Stegostoma tigrinum: one gene and its partner. The protein of the gene in region 2 purifies or fractionates together with the protein of the main gene of each other region. This does not show direct contact. Links are inferred from orthologs where the notes say so. Each region holds a gene or a part of one and is shown on either strand. Other genes may lie near its edges.

Region 1 (3,750 bases), on a different chromosome or scaffold from region 2:
TTATTGCCCATCCCTAACAGCAACTGTGAAGGTGGTGGTAAGCCGCCTTCTTAAACTGCTGCAATCCACATGCTGTAGGTTAACCCACAATGCACTTAGTGAGGGAATGCCAGGATTTTGAACCAGTGACAGTGAAGGAACAGTCATATTTCGAAGTCATAATGGATAGTGGCTTGGAGGGGAACTTGCAGGTGGTGGCATTCCCACATACCTGCTGCCCTTGTCATTCTGGATAGAAGTGGTCGTGGATTAGGAAGGTGCTGTCGAAGGAGCCTTCTGTTAATTTCTGCAGGGCATATTGTGGATGGTACTGTGCTAAAATTTATGAGCACTTGACTCCCTGCTAGTACTTGTGAGCAGAATGTCAAAGATCAATAAAAAAGCAAAAACAAAATATCACAGATGCTGGCAATCTGAATATAGAACAAAAAATGCTGCAAAAGGTTCAGACGAGGGGACAGTGTGAAACATACACTCTGTCTCTCTCCAACGATGCTGTCTGACCTCATCAAAAAAGACTCTTGCTGTCACGGTTCCAGCTTTCATACCAAGGCCCTAAGCAAAGTACAGTGAGAAAAATAAATATAGATGCATTGTCAGGATCAGGAGCACTGTACTCATGCCAGCGTAACTAAGCATAAAGATACGCCTGTTGTGGTTTTCTGACTGATTCAGTCTGTTATTAGCACTTCAACAGAACAGTGAAGGCCTAAAGTGCTAAGATCAATTTTAAAATGTACACAATAGTCAGCACGGAGCAACCAAGTCGCTGAGTTACACAAGTGTGTAAAACGTATAAGAATACTGCAAGATTTAGGGCAAATACAGGAGTTACTACCAAGTACAGCTCATTAGAAGAGACCAACTAAGAGGCAGCATATTGCCAATGCAGATTTTGCCCAAACACAGCTCACTATATGGACATGTTCCCCATAAACAGCTTAGAATGAGAAGCTTTGTATAGACTTGCCTGCAGTTCAGAGTGTTTAAAAATCATCACTCAGAAATTCCAACTAAAGCCTTTCTTTTTGCCTCAGTGAAAAGAGTTTTATCCAGCCTAATTTAACCTTTTCTTTCCTGGCAGACCTTTCATTGCAATATATCAGGTTGTTAGATTTCACAGCCTGGAGACAACAAATTATTAATTAAGAGGTAACAGAGTATGGAGCTGGTGGAAAACAGCAGGCCAGGCAGCATCAAAGGAGCAGGAAAGTTGAGGTTTCAGGTCAGGACCCTTCTTCAGAAAATGGGGCCCTTTTTCTGAAGAGTCCCCACCAAAATGTCAATTTTTCTGCTCCTCTGATGTTGCGTGGCCCTGTGTTCCTTCCAGCTCCATACTGTGTTCCTCTGACTCCAGCATCTGTTGCTCTTGCTATCTCTGAAATTATTGATGAAGCCATCTTCCAGATAGATTCAGTTGGACTGGGCCAAAACCACTTCTCTACCTCAACTACAACAGCAAGTATCACCTATGTGCACCATCATTACACTTTTCATCTTAATAAGGCTTCTGTCAGCTGCTGTTTAACCTTCTCTGAAACAAGGTATCATAACCCATTCAGCTATCACCAATGTTTTGACAAATACAGCACAAACATTCCAATTCTCAACACTGAGAGGTACTTTAATCTCCTCCATCCTAATACCACCACAGATAGATCATTTTGAAAAATTAGTGAATTGTAATAACATGAAAAGGGATTCTGACAGATCAGAATTAAACTAACAGTCGTAAAATCAACTGTGCCCATGTGCTATAGCCAAAGAACAAATACACTTACACAGGCACACCCCAGGTCTTTACCAATCCCTCTGGTACTCAGTGGCATATGGAGTCATCCTAGAAATTTATTTCAATTAACTGGAGGAATGTCAAGCTTTAAACATCTGCACTTGAAATTACTTTAAAATAAATTTATTTCTAAAGACTCTAACCTCCATAGGAGGCCAACAGCCCCATTATACTGTTAAGATACTAACTACGCGAAGGATTGGGCTGCAGATGAATTCAGTTTGGCTGGTGACTCCTCCCAGGAGTCCAATATTAGTCCGCAAAAAATCAGAAGCTAACCAACAAGTTTAGACGTGATCATTTGATTGTCCGCAAATGGTACTCTCCACATAAAACTGCACAATATAAAGTAAAATTGCCCAGCAAATTAAAAATGCTGGTTTCGGAATCAGAACTTGTCCGTAGGGCACCTACACACTTTGGAGATAATCTGCCGACAAACTATTCCCTCACCTTATTCAGAGCAACCTGCCAGCGATCAAAACCAATTTGATTTTCAGTGGCCGGTCAGAAACAGCTCCTGTCAACCAGGCCGTTTCCTGTCTGTTTGCTGGGGAGCGAGGATCAACAGTCAATGTGCCCCTCCTCCACCACCACCACCATCGTACCCAAAGCCAAGTGCGATACCCCAGAAAAGCCCAGTGACCAACCCCTAAGCTGCTGGACACCGCCGCTTACCTCCCGCACGTCCTGCAGACACTCGAGCACCGCGAAGTTATTCTGCCAGGTGTGTTTGGGGCAGAGACGGACCACGTCTTCGTGACACATCGGGTCCTCCGAAAGCCGCCAGATGTTCTTCCGCGGGGCCTGGAATTGGGCCTGGCCCTGTGGACGGGCCTGGAACTGAGCCTGGGGCAGACCCTGGACTTCGACCTGTCCCACGGGGCCGCCATCCTGCGGCTGGTTGTGCGCGCCCAACGCGTCCCGAACGCGGTCCGATCCTCCCTGGGCCCCACAGTGCCACGCGAGCAGGAGAGTGAGAGCCACCGCCGGCAGACAATGCGAGGCCCGCAGCCATCTCCCGTTCAAAGGTGCCCCCACCAACACCAGACTCCCACGTCCACACGCCGCCATCTTGTAACGGCAGCCGCAGCCTCTCCGCCTTTTTATAAACAGCGGCGCGGTGACGTAATGACGCACATGACGTCTTCCACGCCACACGTCTACGTCATACGTTACAGGCTTTTCCCCGCCCCCATTGGTATTGATACAGCCAACAGCAACATTGTATCTGTGGCAGCAAGTTCCACACTTTCTTCATGATGGGACAGTGACGTCGATTTTTACAGTACAGAAGGAGGTCATCCGATCCATCCTAATTCTAGACTCTCCCAACCTCGCTAAACATCCAAAGAGAATGCTGGAGGAACTCAGCAGGCCTGGCAACATCTGTGGAGAGAGAAATAAGAGTTCAAATTGCAAGTGCAGTATGACTTACCTCAGACTCCTCCCTGCATCTCATCTGTCCGGCCTTTTGAGAATTATATACGTTTCAATCAGGTCCCATCTCACCCTTCTTTCCTCCAGGGAAGACAGGCCCAGTTAAACCAATGTCTCCTCATAGAACAGACCTACTGTGCTCAATACCAGCCAAATGAATTTCCACTGTGCTCCCTCTAAGGTTAAAGTATGTCCTTCCTTAGGCAGGGAAACCAGAACTGTACATACAACTATTGGTGTGGAGTCACTAAGGACCTGCTAAAGGCTGATTATGGATAGCCAACATAGTTTTGTGCATGGGAAATCATGTCCTGCTAATTGATTGAGTTTTTTGAAGCAACAAAGAAGATTGATCAAAGCACAGCAGTGGTTGTTGTCTATAGTGATAATAAAATGTGAGGCTGGATGAACACAGCAGGCCAAGCAGCATCTCAGGAGCACAAAAGCTGACGTTTCGGGCCTAGGCCCGAAACGTCAGCTTTTGTGCTCCTGAGATGCTGCTTGGCCTGCTGTGTTCA
Region 2 (3,750 bases):
AGGGGCGGGCGGGCGGGCGTGGGGCGCAATGGGAGAGGGGGCGGGCGGGCGGGCGTGGGGCGCAATGGGAGAGGGGCGGGCGGGCGGGCGTGGGGCGCAATGGGAGAGGGGCGGGCGGGCGGGCGTGGGGCGCAATGGGAGAGGGGCGGGCGGGCGGGCGTGGGGCGCAATGGGAGAGGGGCGGGCGGGCGGGCGTGGGGCGCAATGGGAGAGGGGCGGGCGGGCGTGGGGCGCAATGGGAGAGGGGCGGGCGGGCGTGGGGCGCAATGGGAGAGGGGCGGGCGGGCGGGCGTGGGGCGCAATGGGAGAGGGGTGGGCGTGGGGCGCAATGGGAGAGGGGCGGGCGGGCGGGCGTGGGGCGCAATGGGAGAGGGGCGGGCGGGCGTGGGGCGCAATGGGAGAGGGGCGGGCGTGGGGCGCAATGGGAGAGGGGCGGGCGGGCGGGCGTGGGGCGCAATGGGAGAGGGGCGGGCGGGCGGGCGTGGGGCGCAATGGGAGAGGGGCGGGCGTGGGGCGCAATGGGAGAGGGGCGGGCGGGCAGGCGTGGGGAGCAATGGGAGAGGGGCGGGCGGGCGTGGGGCGCAATGGGAGTGGGGCGCAATGGGGTGGGGGGCGCAATGGGGGGGCGGTGCAATGGGGGGGGCGCGCAATGGGGGGGGGGCGCAATGGGGGGGGCGCAATGGGGGGGGGCGCGCAATGGGGGGGGGCGCGCAATGGGGGGGGCGCGCAATGGGGGGGGCGCGCAATGGGGGGGGCGCGCAATGGGGGGGCGCGCAATGGGGGGGCGCGCAATGGGGGGGCGGGCGCAAAGGGGGGGGCGCAAAGGGGGGGGCGCAAAGGGGGGGGCGCGCGGGCGTGGGGCGCAATCGGGGGGCGGGCGGGTGGGCGTGGGGCGCAATGGGGGGGCGGGAGGGCGGGCGGGCGTGGGGCGCAATGGGGGGGCGGGGGGGCGGGGGGGCGGGTGGGCGTGGGGCGCAATGGGGGGGCAGGCGTGGGGCGCAATGGGGGGGGCGGGCAGGCGTGGGGCGCAATGGGGGGGGGGCGGGCAGGCGTGGGGCGCAATGGGGGGGGCGGGCGGGCGGGCGTGGGGCGCAATGGGGGGGGGGGGCGGGCGGGCGGGCGTGGGGCGCAATGGGGGGGCGGGCGGGCGGGCGTGGGGCGCAATGGGGGGGCGGGCGGGCGGGCGTGGGGCACAATGGGGGGGGCGGGCGTGGGTCGCAATGGGGGGGGCGGGCGGGCGTGAGGCGCAATGGGGGGGGCGGGCGTGAGGGCGTGGGGCGCAATGGGGGGGCGGGGCGGGCGGGCGTGGGGCGCAATGGGGGGGCGGGGCGGGCGTGGGGCGCAAAAGGGGGGGCGGGCGTGGGGCGCAATGGGGGTGGGGCGCAATGGGGGTGGGGCGCAATGGGAGAGGGGGGGGCGGGTGGGTGTGGGGGGCAATGGGAGAGGGGGGGCGGGTGGGTGGGTGTGGGGGGCAATGGGAGAGGGGGGGCGGGTGGGTGGGTGTGGGGGGCAATGGGAGAGGGGGGGGCGGGTGGGTGTGGGGGGCAATGGGAGAGGGGGGGCGGGTGGGTGGGTGTGGGGGGCAATGGGAGAGGGGGGGGCGGGTGGGTGGGTGTGGGGGGCAATGGGAGAGGGGGGGGCGGGTGGGTGGGTGTGGGGGGCAATGGGAGAGGGCGGGCGGGTGGGTGGGTGTGGGGGGCAATGGACGGGGGTGTGGGGTGTGGGGGGCAATGGACGGGGGTGTGGGGGGCAATGGACGGGGGGGTGGGGGGTGGGGGGCAATGGGAGAGGGGGGGGTGGGGGGCAATGGGAGAGGGGGGGGCGGGTGGGTGGGTGTGGGGGGCAATGGGAGAGGGGGGGGCGGGTGGGTGGGTGTGGGGGGCAATGGGAGAGGGCGGGCGGGTGGGTGGGTGTGGGGGGCAATGGACGGGGGTGTGGGGTGTGGGGGGCAATGGACGGGGGGGTGGGGGGTGGGGGGTGGGGGGGGCAATGGACGGGGGGGTGGGGGGTGGGGGGTGGGAGGAGGGACTAACGGCCCGAATTCCGGGGGTGTCGACGGGGGCTGGGTGCCCCTGTCTGCGATCTCGAAACCCGGCCCGGACCCTCACTAAGTCGATAAGTACCCCTCTTCACCCGCCCGGCCGTCTCTATCTATCTACCTATCTATCTATCTATCTATATCTCTCTCTCTCCCCTATCTCCTATCTCCAACTCCTCACCTTCTCACCTCCTCGTCCACTTCTCACTCACTCCATGGCCGCTCCGATCCGGCTCGAGCTCTGCTCTGTTGCTCCTTCAGCTACTTGTTTCGCCTGATCTCGCACCCCGCCCATTCCAGATCATTCACTCACGATCCATTGAGCAGCCTGGTCCCAAGCGCTGCCCCAGCTTGATCCACGCAGCCTGGTCTTCCCATCCTGACATGGTCCTCCCAGGCACGCTTTCGTTGCACTTGAGCTCCCGCCCCCAGAAGGAGTTAACTTTAGTATTTTGTTGAAACATGTTTGGGAAAGACATCCGAGGTTTGAGGGTGCATGAGAAATAATTATGTCAAAAACAATATATGAGAGACGGAGATGAGGGAGACGAGAAAGGGACAGAGTGAAGGTGGGCGTGAGGGTGGGGCAGACTTTCGGGTCGGGTGAGAATGTCAGGGTGTGGGGATTGAGGATTGCGGGGACAAGGCAGGAGAATGGAATTGACAAACCTATTAGTCATGATTGTTTAGCACAACAGACTCAATGGGCCAAATGGCCTACTCTGCGATCTTACGGTCTTCTGTTTGGGGGTCAGGATGAGGTTGCGGTCTGCTGGTGTCATTCCCTCAAATACTGGTCTTGATAGACACCAAAAAGGCAGTCACAGAGGATAAAACAAAAAATTACATTGGAAGTGTTTCAAATCCAATATGGCTTTACCAGGTTGATACTTCAGGTATCAGAGATAATGGGAACTGCAGATGCTGGAGAATCCAAGACAACAAAATGCGAGCCTGGATGAACACAGCAGGCCAAGCTGCATCTCAGGAGCACAAAAGCTGACGTTTCGGTCCTAGACACTTCATCAGAGAGGGGGATGGGGTGAGGGAACTGGAATAAATAGGGAGAGAGGGGGAGGCGGACCGAAGATGGAGAGAAAAGAAGATAGGTGGAGAGAGTATAGGTGGGGAGGTAGGGAGGGGATAGGTCAGTCCAGGGAAGATGGACAGGTCAAGGAGGTGGGATGAGGTTAGTAGGTAGATGGGGGTGCGGCTTGGGGTGGGAGGAAGGGATGGGTGAGAGGAAGAACAGGTTAGGGAGGCGGAGACAGGTTGGACTGGTTTTGGGATGCAGTGGGTGGAGTGGAGGAGCTGGGCTGGTTGTGTGGTGCTGTGGGGGGAGGGGACGAACTGGGCTGGTTTAGGGATGCAGTTGGGGAAGGGGAGATTTTGAAACTGGTGAAGTCCACATTGATACCATATGGCTGCAGGGTTCCCAGGCGGAATATGAGTTGCTGTTCCTGCAACCTTCGGTGGCATCATTGTGGCAGTGCAGGAGGCCCATGATGGACATGTCATCTAATACTTCAGGTATACTTCAGGTATGCCTGGTGCTGCTCCTGGCATATCCTCCTGCAGTCTCCGTTGAACCAGGGTTGATTCTCTGGATTGATGTTAATGGTTGTTTAGGGAATATGCCATGCCATGAGGTTTCAGATTGTGAGTACAGTTCTGATGCTGTTGATGATCCACACCACTTCATGGCTGCCCAG

What was found. Proteins that work in one complex are often made in the same cells at the same time.
Region 1: the proteins of osbpl8 (region 2) and glg1a purify together in Homo sapiens (co-immunoprecipitation; 3 studies listed by BioGRID and IntAct, with this or other methods). This does not show direct contact. The link is inferred for Stegostoma tigrinum from reciprocal best matches to the Homo sapiens genes OSBPL8 and GLG1.

What each region holds. Positions count from the first base shown.
Region 1 is NC_081369.1:11,881,089-11,884,838, reverse strand, and holds the start of glg1a (Golgi apparatus protein 1), read right to left. Parts: upstream 2,892-3,750; 5' UTR 2,867-2,891; coding exon 2,471-2,866; intron 1-2,470. UniProt on the Homo sapiens protein: Binds fibroblast growth factor and E-selectin (cell-adhesion lectin on endothelial cells mediating the binding of neutrophils).
Region 2 is NC_081371.1:62,918,355-62,922,104, reverse strand, and holds the start of osbpl8 (oxysterol-binding protein-related protein 8), read right to left. Parts: upstream 2,335-3,750; 5' UTR 2,228-2,334; exon of another isoform or gene 2,220-2,227; intron 1-2,219. UniProt on the Homo sapiens protein: Lipid transporter involved in lipid countertransport between the endoplasmic reticulum and the plasma membrane: specifically exchanges phosphatidylserine with phosphatidylinositol 4-phosphate (PI4P), delivering phosphatidylserine to the plasma membrane in exchange for PI4P, which is degraded by the SAC1/SACM1L phosphatase in the endoplasmic reticulum.